Stegostoma tigrinum: one gene and its partner. The protein of the gene in region 1 binds, or shares a complex with, the protein of each later gene. Links are inferred from orthologs where the notes say so. Each region holds a gene or a part of one and is shown in the gene's direction. Other genes may lie near its edges.

Region 1 (5,667 bases):
TTCACAATGTATACCCTATATATCTAGTGGTCAGAAAAGCAAATGAAAGCAGAGTCCTGTCCAAAGCAGACTGCTTAGTATTGAAGCACTGGCAATAGGGCATGACATGTCGTTCACACACGTACATGCTTGATACTGGACCACCAAAACTAGCTGCAGTAGTTTATGTGGCCCACTCAGTCTGCTTTGCCATTCAAAGAGATCATGACTGACCTGACAGTCCTCAACTCCAATTTCCTGCCTTATCACCATAACCCTTCATTGAAAGCAGGCGACTTCCAGGAGGACAATAGAAATGCTTAAACCATGTCCTTAAAATATCCATGAAGAGTTAAAAAACCGAATAAAAACAGAGAAGATTCATTTGAAAAGGCATGGGAACTTTCTCAGAAACATGCAAAAGTGAAGTTGAGGCATTGGAGAGATTACAGAAACCAACAAACAGCTACTACTCTGCATGTGGCAGACTCTGCATTTCACACATTGGACTTTTTCTGCCATCTCAGCACCCATGACCAGAACCATCAAGTTGGCCTGACTAAGAAGGAAAGCACTCACATGACACAGGTAGCAAGCAATGGACATTTCCAACAAGGCAGATAATTTTTCACAGTCAACAGCATTATCATTGTTGAATCCCCCAAAGTCAACATCTTACAGGGTTATCAATGACCAGAAAATGAACCAACCATATAAAGTGGGAAAGTGTCAGATTCTGCAGTGTGCAATTCACTTCCAAGCTTGTCTAAAATTTACAAGGCACAAACCAGGAATACTCTCCACTCACCTGGATGTGTACAGCTCCAACAATCACAAAGCTCAGCCCTATTCAGGACAAAGTAATCTTCTTGAATGCAACTTATCCACCATCTTCAACATTCGCTCCCTTTACCACTGATGTACATTGACAAGTTTGCACCATCTGCATAAATGTAGCACAGTAACTCCTTTGACCATACCGACTCAAACTAAAACTTCAACGTATAAAGACTAGCACTGAAGACAGGGCTGGCTACTGCCTGCAAGTTCCCCTCCAAGACAAACACCATCCCTGACTTGCAGCTATGTTGTAGTTTTTTTGTCACTGCATCAAAATCCTGGAACTAGTGTCCTACAGCACCACACTTATTACTACTCCAGACAGCCAACAGCAATTCAAAAAGGTAGCTCATGGCCACTATCTCAAATATAAATTGGTCTTACCAGAAACATTAGATCCCATAAAAGAATAAAACACAAATCTTACAAACGTGTTTAAATCATTTCAAGGCCTTGATTATCCTTTAGTCTTGGGCTCCCAAAGTTGGACGTCAGGATCCTAAATGGAGTTCAACGTTGCAATTTTGAAATTGCAAGCTTCAAGACAGTACATATCATTACAAAGATCTGACTGAATTACAACAGTTATGTTCTACCAGGCCCCTACTTCATAGTTTTCTCATCTTCTCTTGAAGAAGTGTCTGACTTCCTACTCATAACATATCCCTCTTTTGCTACGTGTTCACTTTTGTTTGATCATACCTCAAAAAAGTGTGGAAATGTTTCCTACGTTAAAATTGTTGTACAAATGTTCTTTACCTTCTGGTTATGTCCGTACGTGACATGTTTTACCTTTGTAACCAATGTTCACTTGTCTACTACCTACATCCCTGAATTTAATACAAATCCTCCCTTTGTTGAAGAAGTCAACCCACATTTACTGCTGAGGTCCCATCAAAAACATGAAGAATACATTAAATTGTATTCTATAAATTTAAAAGATATTAAAAACGAGATTAGACTCTCGACTTTTAAAGCCTAATTCCCACATTATAAGATTTAACTTTGAAGCCATTTTCTTTGCTCTGAAACACACACAAAACATGGAAATAGAAACACCCTACATCCGGGAACTATTCCCTCATCGCCATGGCCACCGTTACACCTCAGACCTTCCTCTCGTCACAGCCACTGTACCAACACTCCCGGCAAACACCACGCATCAAACGGTCACTAACCAATCGGAAAGACGCGAGGTGGCATTGGCCTGTTCTGATTGGATGATGTTCGCGGAAGCGCACTTTTTAAATGTGTAGTTGAGAGCGGCCGCAGGCTGCTTGCTGGCGTTCGGGCTTTGAATCGGGGGGTCTGCAGTAATCGGAGTCGATAGGAAATCATACCAATAGATTTTCAGAAAATACGATTCGCCTACTTTTCGTCAGTTTTGGTAAGATTGATTCCAGTCTGTGTCTTAAAACGATTAGATGAGAAGCCTCCCTGGGCTGAAATGGTCGGTGGAGACTCTATGTGGCCGCCTTTTGTGCTGAATTGAACTTGTTCATAGCCAGAACTGCGATTAATTTGTAAATTAATAGCGCCAGATTTATCTGATTTGATTCACTAGAAGTGATAGATTTTTTAAAAATTGTCTCTTGATGAAGTTTGCATCTGTTAAAGGCCGGAGTCTGGCTTTTGTGGGAAATGTTCATCGCCCGCCTTGACTTCCCCATAATCTTCGTTCCAGTTTGATTTTAAAGATCTTCTGAGGCTGTGAAAGATAAATTTCCCGTTGTTGTTGTTGAAAAACTTCCTGTCCGGACAAATTATCTCTGCCAGGGTCGCAAAGGATTTTTAAATTTGGCAGCAACATTTGTTTTCCCTTCTCCCCAAAGTGACGGGCTTCCGTTTTAACAAAAACTTCGGGGGAAATCGCTTTATAGTGAAATGTTTCAAACGAAGTTTTGATAATTCGCTGAGAAGTGGGCTTTCTTTTTGTTACCTAGTCTGTCAGAATCTGCACCCAACCTACCTGAGATTTTACATATTCGTAACTAGCATTTGTCTTTGTTTGAAACTTAGCGTTTCAAGCATAGTTTTTGTTTCAGTGCAACGAATGAAAACTGAATTAGTAAAAAATCACGACATTTTTTAAGTACAGTAGGAAATTGTTACCTACATAGTTGTTTCAGAGGACTGTTGTTTGAGACGTTGTTTAAATCAGTGTCTTTCAAGTGGAACTTAACTGCATGCATGTGTATCTGGTTTAGCTTAGGCTAACTCCTCTTTTTTATAAAGATTTTAATTATGTAGTTCTTTTCAAAAAGAAAATGGAGAAATCACTTGGACCAGATAGACTACATCCCAGACATATAGAGATGGTATCTGGAGATTGTGGAGACACTGGTGATCTTTCAGAAATCACTGAAGTCAGGGGGTGCCACAGGACTGGAAAATGGCTAATGTAACACCCCTGTTTAAGAAGGGAAGGAGATAGAAGACAGGAAATTATAGATTGGTTAGCCTGAACTTGATTGTTAGTGAGATTTTACAGACCATTGTTAATGATGAGATTGCAGATTAATAGAAATGCATGGTAAAAACAGCCTGGTTTTATCCAGAGGGGATCATGTCTGACAAATGTTAGAATTCTTTAAGGAGGTAACGAGCAAATTAGAAAAAGGAGAGCTGGTGGTATATTTGGATTTCCAGAACACTCTTGATAAGATGATTCACAGGAGACTGCTAAATAAGTTAAGAACCCATGGTGTTAGGGGCAAGTTACTGGCATGGGTAGAGGATTGGCTGACTGATCAAAGGCAGAGCATAGGAGTAAAGTAGTCCTTTTCAAGATGGCAGTGAGTAAGTAGTGGGGGTTCGCAGGGGTAATTGTTTGGATCCCAACGATTCATGTTGTGCATTAATGATTTGGGTGAATAAACCAAGGACATCGTTGTTAAACTTGCAATTACACAAAAGTAGTTGAGCAACAGTGGCACTGAGGAAGTGGGAAGATTGCAGAAGGACTTGGACGAGTTAGGAGAGTGGGTAAAGAAGTGGCAGATGCAATACAATGTGGGAAAGTGTCAGATTATCCATTTTGATAGGAATAGCAGAGGCATGGACTACTTTCTATTTGAGGGAGGAAATGTTTTGGCTATCTGAAGCACAGAGACTTGGGAGTCCTAGTTCAGGATTTTCTTAAGGCTAACATGTAGGTTCAGTTGGCAGTCAGGAAGGCAAATATAGTATCAGTATTTATTTCAGGAGAGCTGGAATACAAGAAGAGAGATGTAATGCTGAGGCTGAATAAGACTACATTTGGAATATTGAGTAGTTTTGTGCCCTGTATCTAGGGAAGGACATGCTATTGTTGGAAATGGTCCAGAGGAGGTTTACAAGAATGATCCAGGAGTGAATGCCTTGTCACATGAAGAGCGGTTGGCAACTTTGGTTCTGTACTTGATGGGGTGTAGAAGGACAAAGGAGGATTTAATTTGAAACTTGTAGAACACTGAGGCCTGGATAGAACGAAGGTGTAGGAGAGACAGGGACGCACAGCCTTAGAGTGAAGGGAGGATCTTCAAACTGAGATGAGGCAGAATTTCTTAAGGGTGGCGAACCTGAGGAACTCATTGCCACATGAGCCTTTGGAGGTCAGGCTACCCGAGTGTATTTAAGACAGATGGTTCTTGATTACTCAGAAGATCAAGTGTTACAGAGAAAAGGTAAGAAAGGATTGAGACACATCAGCCAGATTGCATAGTGGAATAGAGTCAATGGCCCAAATGGCCTAATTCTGCTTCTGTATCTTGTCGTCTAAAAATACACAACTTTCAGGCCATGATGAAATGTGGAAATGGAACCCAACATTGTCGGAGGTTCATAGTTGCAAATGTTGAATATCTGATTTGTAACATGTCTAGCACTTGAGATCTTTGCCAAAACCTCCCAAATTCAAAAGAACCTGATAAATAAGTATGGGATTAAATTGTTTGGTTATGCATGCTAGAATTAGTGTTAAAATGAAGGTATTTTGTGTCTACAGTAAGATTTGGTAGATTTGTTTGCATTATACTGTTACAGTGAAATTGTTTAAATTAACTAAAAAAGTACAATTTTTGTCCATCTCAGAGGAACATAAGATAAAGTTGCACGGTCTTACAGGTAATGTATTGGCATGGGTAGAGAATTGGTTGACCAGTAGAAAGCAAAGAGTAGGGGTAAATGTGTGTTTTTCTGTTTGGTGGTCAGTGGCTAGTGGTGTGCTTCAGGGATCAGTGTTGGGGCCGCAATTGTTTACAATTTACATAGATGATTTGGAGTTGGGGACTAAGTGCGGTGTGTCAAAATTTGCAGATGACACTAAGGTGAGTGGTAGAGCAAAGTGTGCAGAAGACACTGAAAGTCTGTGGAGGGATATGGGTGGTCTGCGAGTGGAGATGTGCAGATGGGGTACAAAGGACTAACAGCAAAATGGGCCATGCTTTAAAGGGTAAAAATTGCAGTACGCTGCTGTGCAAAGGGACTTGGGTGTCCTTGTGCATGAATCACTAAAAGTAGGATTGCAGGTGCAGCAGGTGATTAAAAAGGCAAATGGAATTTTGTCTGCCATTGCTCGAGGGATGAAGTTTAAAAACAGGGAGGCTATGCTGCAGCTGTATTGGGACCTGGTGAGGCCACACTTGGAGTACTGTGTGCAGTTTTGGTCCCCTTACTTGAGAAGAGATATGCTAGCACTGGAGGGGGCGCAAAGGAGGTTCATTCGATTGATTCCAGAGTTGGGAGGGTTGGATTATGAGGAGAGACTGAGTACGCTGGGATTATACTCATTGGAATTCAGAAGAATGAGGGGAGATCTTATTAATAGATAAGGTGGAGGCCTAGCAGGTGAAACTAGGACTAGAGGGC
Region 2 (5,667 bases), on another chromosome or scaffold:
TCTTCAGTCTTTTTTAAAAAAACTGACAATTTTGTAATGTGAATGTTTGAGTTCTCTTTTTAGTAATTTAAGATTTGTTATTTGCAGCTGGGTTGCACAGTTTGAAACAAATATGCATTCCTGTTTTAAACAATACTGAAGCTGACAACCAGGAGGATGACTGTGATGGGAAACCTGTTGAAGAAAGGGAAAAGAACTTCCTCAATCAACAGACACCACTTGGTGTCAATGATGACTTCTGCATGGTTAATTCCAGTTTTCAGGACCAGCCCCTTATGTTTAATCCTGTTAGAATTCCACCAAGGTTTTCTATGGCCTCAAACACACAAAATACATTGGGAGAAGGCTCACATCATATGAGCAAAATTCTTTTCACTCACCTACCAAACTTACAAACATCATCTTCCTGTGGAACCACTGCAGAGCTGCAAAGCAATGAAGGAAAAAAACATACATTCAAGACATCAGTAGTTTCTCAAGAAACTAGTTCACAGATGAAAAGCTCTGGAATTCTGGGACTATCTTGCTATTCTTCAGATGAAGATAAATAAGTAACAAATAACAGCTGATTCACATTAATTGTTCCATGTAATATTTTGTCTGAAATACTGTAATTGCTGAATGTGTGTAGATGCTATATTTTCAAAATTTATTTTTATTGGTGTTGTGCATTGTATGTAGAGCAATTTGTATATTTGTTGCATTGTATAATCGTTGAAATACAAATTCTTCCAATTCTCATAGTTGGTATGAATTTAAATCAGAAATAAAGGTGCTCTTATTTCAAATACTTTATTTTCTATATCCAAAAGCATCAAGAATGAATCATGTGAAAATCATCGCCATCTAGTGCTACTGCTAAAATGACATTCTACTTGTGCTAATACAACAACCTCTAACAAAAATCTTTTTACTGTTGTATTTGACTCGTTCAGATCAGTTTAAACCCTGCCTAAATGGCAGAGGATTGTGATGAATTTGATATGACTCATCTCCACTGATCTTAACACAGGTTCCATTTAATTCCTCCTTTTCGTTCATGGATTTTCTTCTGATTGTCTAATTTTGCTTCATGTTCTCATTGTGATGATTCTCAGCATGATTTTGATTTGGACTCGAAGTTGTTCTTATGAAGTTCATATTATTTTCACTTCGTCTTTTTGGTAGCGTTATTAATAGTGATATACGAAGATTTTCTCAGATTAATCAAGACGTACACTTTGCCACAGCTATAAAGTAAGCTCAATGATACAATTGTTGATTTTTTTTTGGATAACTTCACGGTGAACTCGCCCTTTTAACAACACTCCTGTTCCAAAAGTGAACATACCAGATGTAGAGCTGGATGAACACAGCAGGCCAAGCAGCATTTCTGATGAAGGGTCTAGGCCCGAAACGTCAGCCTTCCTGCTCCTATGATGCTGCTTGGCTTGCTGTGTTCATCCAGCTCTACACCTTGTTATCTCAGATTCTCCAGCATCGACAGTTCCTCCTGTCTCTGATACAGGAGAGAGTGAATGTGTATCAGGCGCTGCTGCTGACATCCGACAGGGGGCAGCAGGTGTCGGAAATGACGTTGGTGGTGCAATATGGCGGAGGAAGTGGATGTGGATATTGAAGGAGATGGAACGGAGCTGAACCTGGGGTAAGAGAAGAAACTAGGGCCTGTCTGCGGGACTTAGCTGCTGCAGAGCCTGAGTATTCCGTGGGTGGATGGAGAGCCCCTGTGTGTGTAAACCTGCCTGGGAGCCGCCTGGGTTTATTTATCTCTTAAATCAGTGATCCATTTGTAGTGTCTACACTGTGTACTGTTCACCGAACCACTATAAGCTGCTTTATTCCAGTTGAGAGTTAAGCGACTTGCGTTTGGGCCTGATTTAAAATGAGCGAATGTGTGTTTAATGCATCCAATAATCAAACCTACTGGGGGAGGCTTGAATTTCCCCTGCGAAGCACAGTACGTATATCGCAAGGGTAGGCTTCGTATAGGAATCGCAGCTACCAACTTCTGCTCTAGAAATTCCTACAAAACAAAACATTTCAATGATAAGCTGAGCTTTTGATGGTTGAGGGGTGTAAATGTTGGTCAGGATATTGGGAGAGCTTAACATCTTTTTAAGAGTGATATTGGATAGATTATGTACACATACTGGATTTAGTGCCAGGATTCATCCAAATGTGCATGACCGGAATTGAGACAGTAAATTGCCCGGTCTTACTTGAACCCTCCACCTCAAAGGTGTTATCAGTGTTCCCAAGAATAAAAATCAGAATTAAATAAGACACCTAGAATCATAGAATGGTTTCAACATTGATGGAAACCGTTCAGTCATTAGTCTTTGCAAATCATCTGAGGGGGCAGTTCACCTGAAAATTTGTCACCTTCTCCTGTAATCCTGCAAAGATGATCCTTTTTGAGAAATGATTCTATTCCCATTTAAAAGATCAATCAAACTACACATGCAGTCAGTGCATTCCAGATCTGCATGATTCGCTGCAAGAAAGATTTCTTCTTCTTGCACGTTTTGTCTCGTAACCAAAATCTGTGCCTCTAGTTTTTGATCTTTACACCAATTAGAAGTTTTTCTCCGTATCTACTCTGTTGAAATACCTTGTGGTCTTTAGTACCTATATCCAATTGCCTCTCTTCAAGGAAATTAGTCTCAATGTCTCCAATTAATCTTGTAACTGAAGTTTTACAACCCTGGAAGGATTCTTGTGATCTTTTCTGCATCCTGTCAAACCTCTATGTCCTTCCTAAAGTATGCTGCCTAGAACTGGATAAGTACTCTAGTTATGACTGAACCATGACTATGTGTTTAACATTGTTTCCTTGCTCTTATACTGTTTGCCTCTATCAATAAATGCCTAAGAATCATATGCTTTATTACCAAGCTCTTCACCTGTTCTTCCACCTTGAATGGTTATCACATATATACCCTGATCTCTCTCCATTTGCACTCTGTTAGGAATTGTATCTTTTTGTTTATATTGGCATAACTATTCCATTATGGTCAGAAACTCTACTTCCACACCTGATTAGATTAAAATTACCAACTAAGCTTTAGATGAATGAGAAGACACTAGGAAACATAGAGGAAAAGAGGGATTTTGTGATGCCTGTCCACAGATCCCTGAAGGTTTAGGACAGGTTATTTGTGTAGTTAAGGCATAGGGGACTCTTACCTTTATCAGTCATGGCATAGTTTATAAGAACATGGGGCCATTGCTGGAGCTTATATGGTTTTTTTTGTAAGGCCACAGCTGAAGTACTATGTGCAGTTGTGGTGACCACACTGTAGGAAGGATGTGATTGCACTGGAGGGGGTGCAAAGGAGATTCACCAAAGTGTTACCTAGCATGGAGCATTCAGCTACAAAGAAAGGCAGGATGAGCTTGGCTTTTTTTCTTTGGATCGGAGAAGGTTGAGTGAAGACCTGATAGAGGTGTATAAGCTTATTAAGGGCATGGACAGGGCGAATAGAAAGCAGATGTTCCACTTATTTGAAGGGTCAGTAATGAGGGAAAATAATTTTAAAATGAAAGGCAGGAGGTTTAGTGTAGGTTTGAGGAAAAACATTTTCAGCTAGAGTATGGTGGGGGTCTGGAAAGCAGTGCCTGCGAGTGTAGTTGAAGCAGGAAACCTCACAACCTTTAAAAAATATTTGGATCCATGCTTGGACTAGTGTAGGTTATGGTATATTTTTAGTGTGCAGACTTGATGAGCCGAAGAGCCTGTTCTGTACATTGTGATTTTGCGTCTCTTGTCCTGGAGTTTCCTTGACAGGGATTTCTTGTAACTAGCCAGTCTAGGAATTCATGAATCCAGCAGTGAAGAGAGTAGGTGTTGGAAACCATACTATTTTGATAGCTGCTGTGAAGGCGTAACAGTAAGGTAAGTGCAGGGTTATTGTACCAGCTAGATAGGGTGCCCATGTAAGCCATCAGGTGCTTTGGCTAGTTGGTGGATGGGCAACAGGAAATGTTGTGGGATGGTGAATCAGGATGTGGTGGTCTGGTGAAGGGTTAGTCATAAGGGATCGGTAGGGAGGTGTATGGGAGGGAGTCTGTTTAATAGTAATCCAAAAGGTTAGACTATATTTTTAATCGTCTTGACTTTTCCTGCATGACTGTTAAACCTAAGTGAGTTGTAAGCCTTTGAATCTCTTGACTTTTTTTAATGAATCTTTTTGGAGTGTTCCAGATGCCGGGGATTTGCTCATTGTCCAGAATTCAATTTCCCAAGCAATTTGCATGGCATCAGCTGCATGTAGAATTTTGCATAGTCCCAGCACACAACTATCTTAAATGTGCCACCACAGTCTGCGTGGCTCTGGTGATTTCCTGACCAATGGAAATTTTAGACACTTGTCTCTTTTTATTTTTCCTACTAAAATGAATCACTTCACATTTCTCTGCATTAATTAATTTTCTATCACTTGTCGATTCATTTCGTCAATATCCTATGGGGTGTTTTACATAATTTTTGTTAGTTCACATTATTTCCGAATTTTACCTTATCTGCAGTTTTTCTAATTTACACCAGTGTTTTGGCTATGATGAAGAACAGGGACCCTAATATCGACACTTGAGGACCTCTTTCTTCTTCCTTCATTCTGAAAAATGACTACACTCTTGCTGCTTGTTTCCCGGCACTTGGCTAATTTTGTATCCATCTTGCATGGAATATAATGTGGAATACTGGGAGTTTTTGCACTTTGCAAGAAGAATAGGCCACTTGGCCCTCTGCACCTGCTCCACCATTTAAGATGATCAAAGCTGATCATTCAACTCAGTGATAATGGGAACTGCAGATGCTGGAGAATTCAAGATAATAAAGTCTGATGAAGGGTCTAGGCCCGAAACATCAGCATTTATGCTCCTGAGATGCTGCTTGGCCTGCTGTGTTCATCCAGCTTCACATTCAACTCAATAGTGTGTTCCTGCTTTTCCTCCATATCCTTTAATCCTTTAGACCCTAGTGTTATGGCTAACTCCTTCCTGAAATCACACAATGTTTTGGACTTGACTGCTCTCTATGCTAGCAAATTCCACAGACTCACCACTCTCTGGGTGGAAAAAAATTCTTCTCATCTCAGTCCTAAATGGTTTACCCCCTAAGCTTAGTCTGTGACCCCTGGTTCTGAAGACTCCTGGCCTCAGAAATATCTTTCCTGCGTCTGCCCTTTCTAATCCTATTCGGTGAACTTATGGTGCTTTGTAAATTTGCCATAGCCTACAATCATCTGAATGTGTCTCGCAATTTGGAACAATTGCTTTAAAGCCAAAGTTGTGCATGTTTCTCTAGCATTAAAAAAGTTGACACTCCCCTTGTCCCCTAACCATCTTTGTGACCTCTTCCAGCTCTGCAATCAGCAGAGATCACTGTTCACCAGCAGTTCTGGTCTATCACGCATTCCCTGATTTTCTCCACTCCAGCACTTGTGGCTCGGCCTGAAACTGTCTCCACTCTCATCTTCAGACATCCCTCTTTAAACATGTCTGCCTCACTTTCAGAAGCTACTTAAAACTGACCTCTTTTGGTCAGCCTTCTTCATATTTCCTTCCGTGGCCAGTGTCAAATTCTGTTTGATAGCATTCATGTGAAGCGTCTTACTCTATTAAAGGTGCTACATAAATACAATTGTTGTTGCAGAATTGTCCTAA

Evidence for each region. Proteins that work in one complex are often made in the same cells at the same time.
Region 2: kif11 (region 1) and mysm1 share a complex: the UniProt entries of both Homo sapiens proteins name them as parts of the large chromatin remodeling complex. The link is inferred for Stegostoma tigrinum from reciprocal best matches to the Homo sapiens genes KIF11 and MYSM1.

Annotation. Positions count from the first base shown.
Region 1 is NC_081373.1:41,823,533-41,829,199, forward strand, and holds the start of kif11 (kinesin-like protein KIF11), read left to right. Parts: upstream 1-2,082; 5' UTR 2,083-2,206; intron 2,207-5,667. UniProt on the Homo sapiens protein: Motor protein required for establishing a bipolar spindle and thus contributing to chromosome congression during mitosis. Required in non-mitotic cells for transport of secretory proteins from the Golgi complex to the cell surface.
Region 2 is NC_081361.1:56,202,176-56,207,842, reverse strand, and holds the start of mysm1 (histone H2A deubiquitinase MYSM1), read left to right. Parts: upstream 1-1,537; 5' UTR 1,538-1,589; coding exon 1,590-1,645; intron 1,646-5,667. Other genes in the region: uncharacterized protein si:dkey-86e18.1, read left to right, coding at 88-551. UniProt on the Homo sapiens protein: Metalloprotease with deubiquitinase activity that plays important regulator roles in hematopoietic stem cell function, blood cell production and immune response.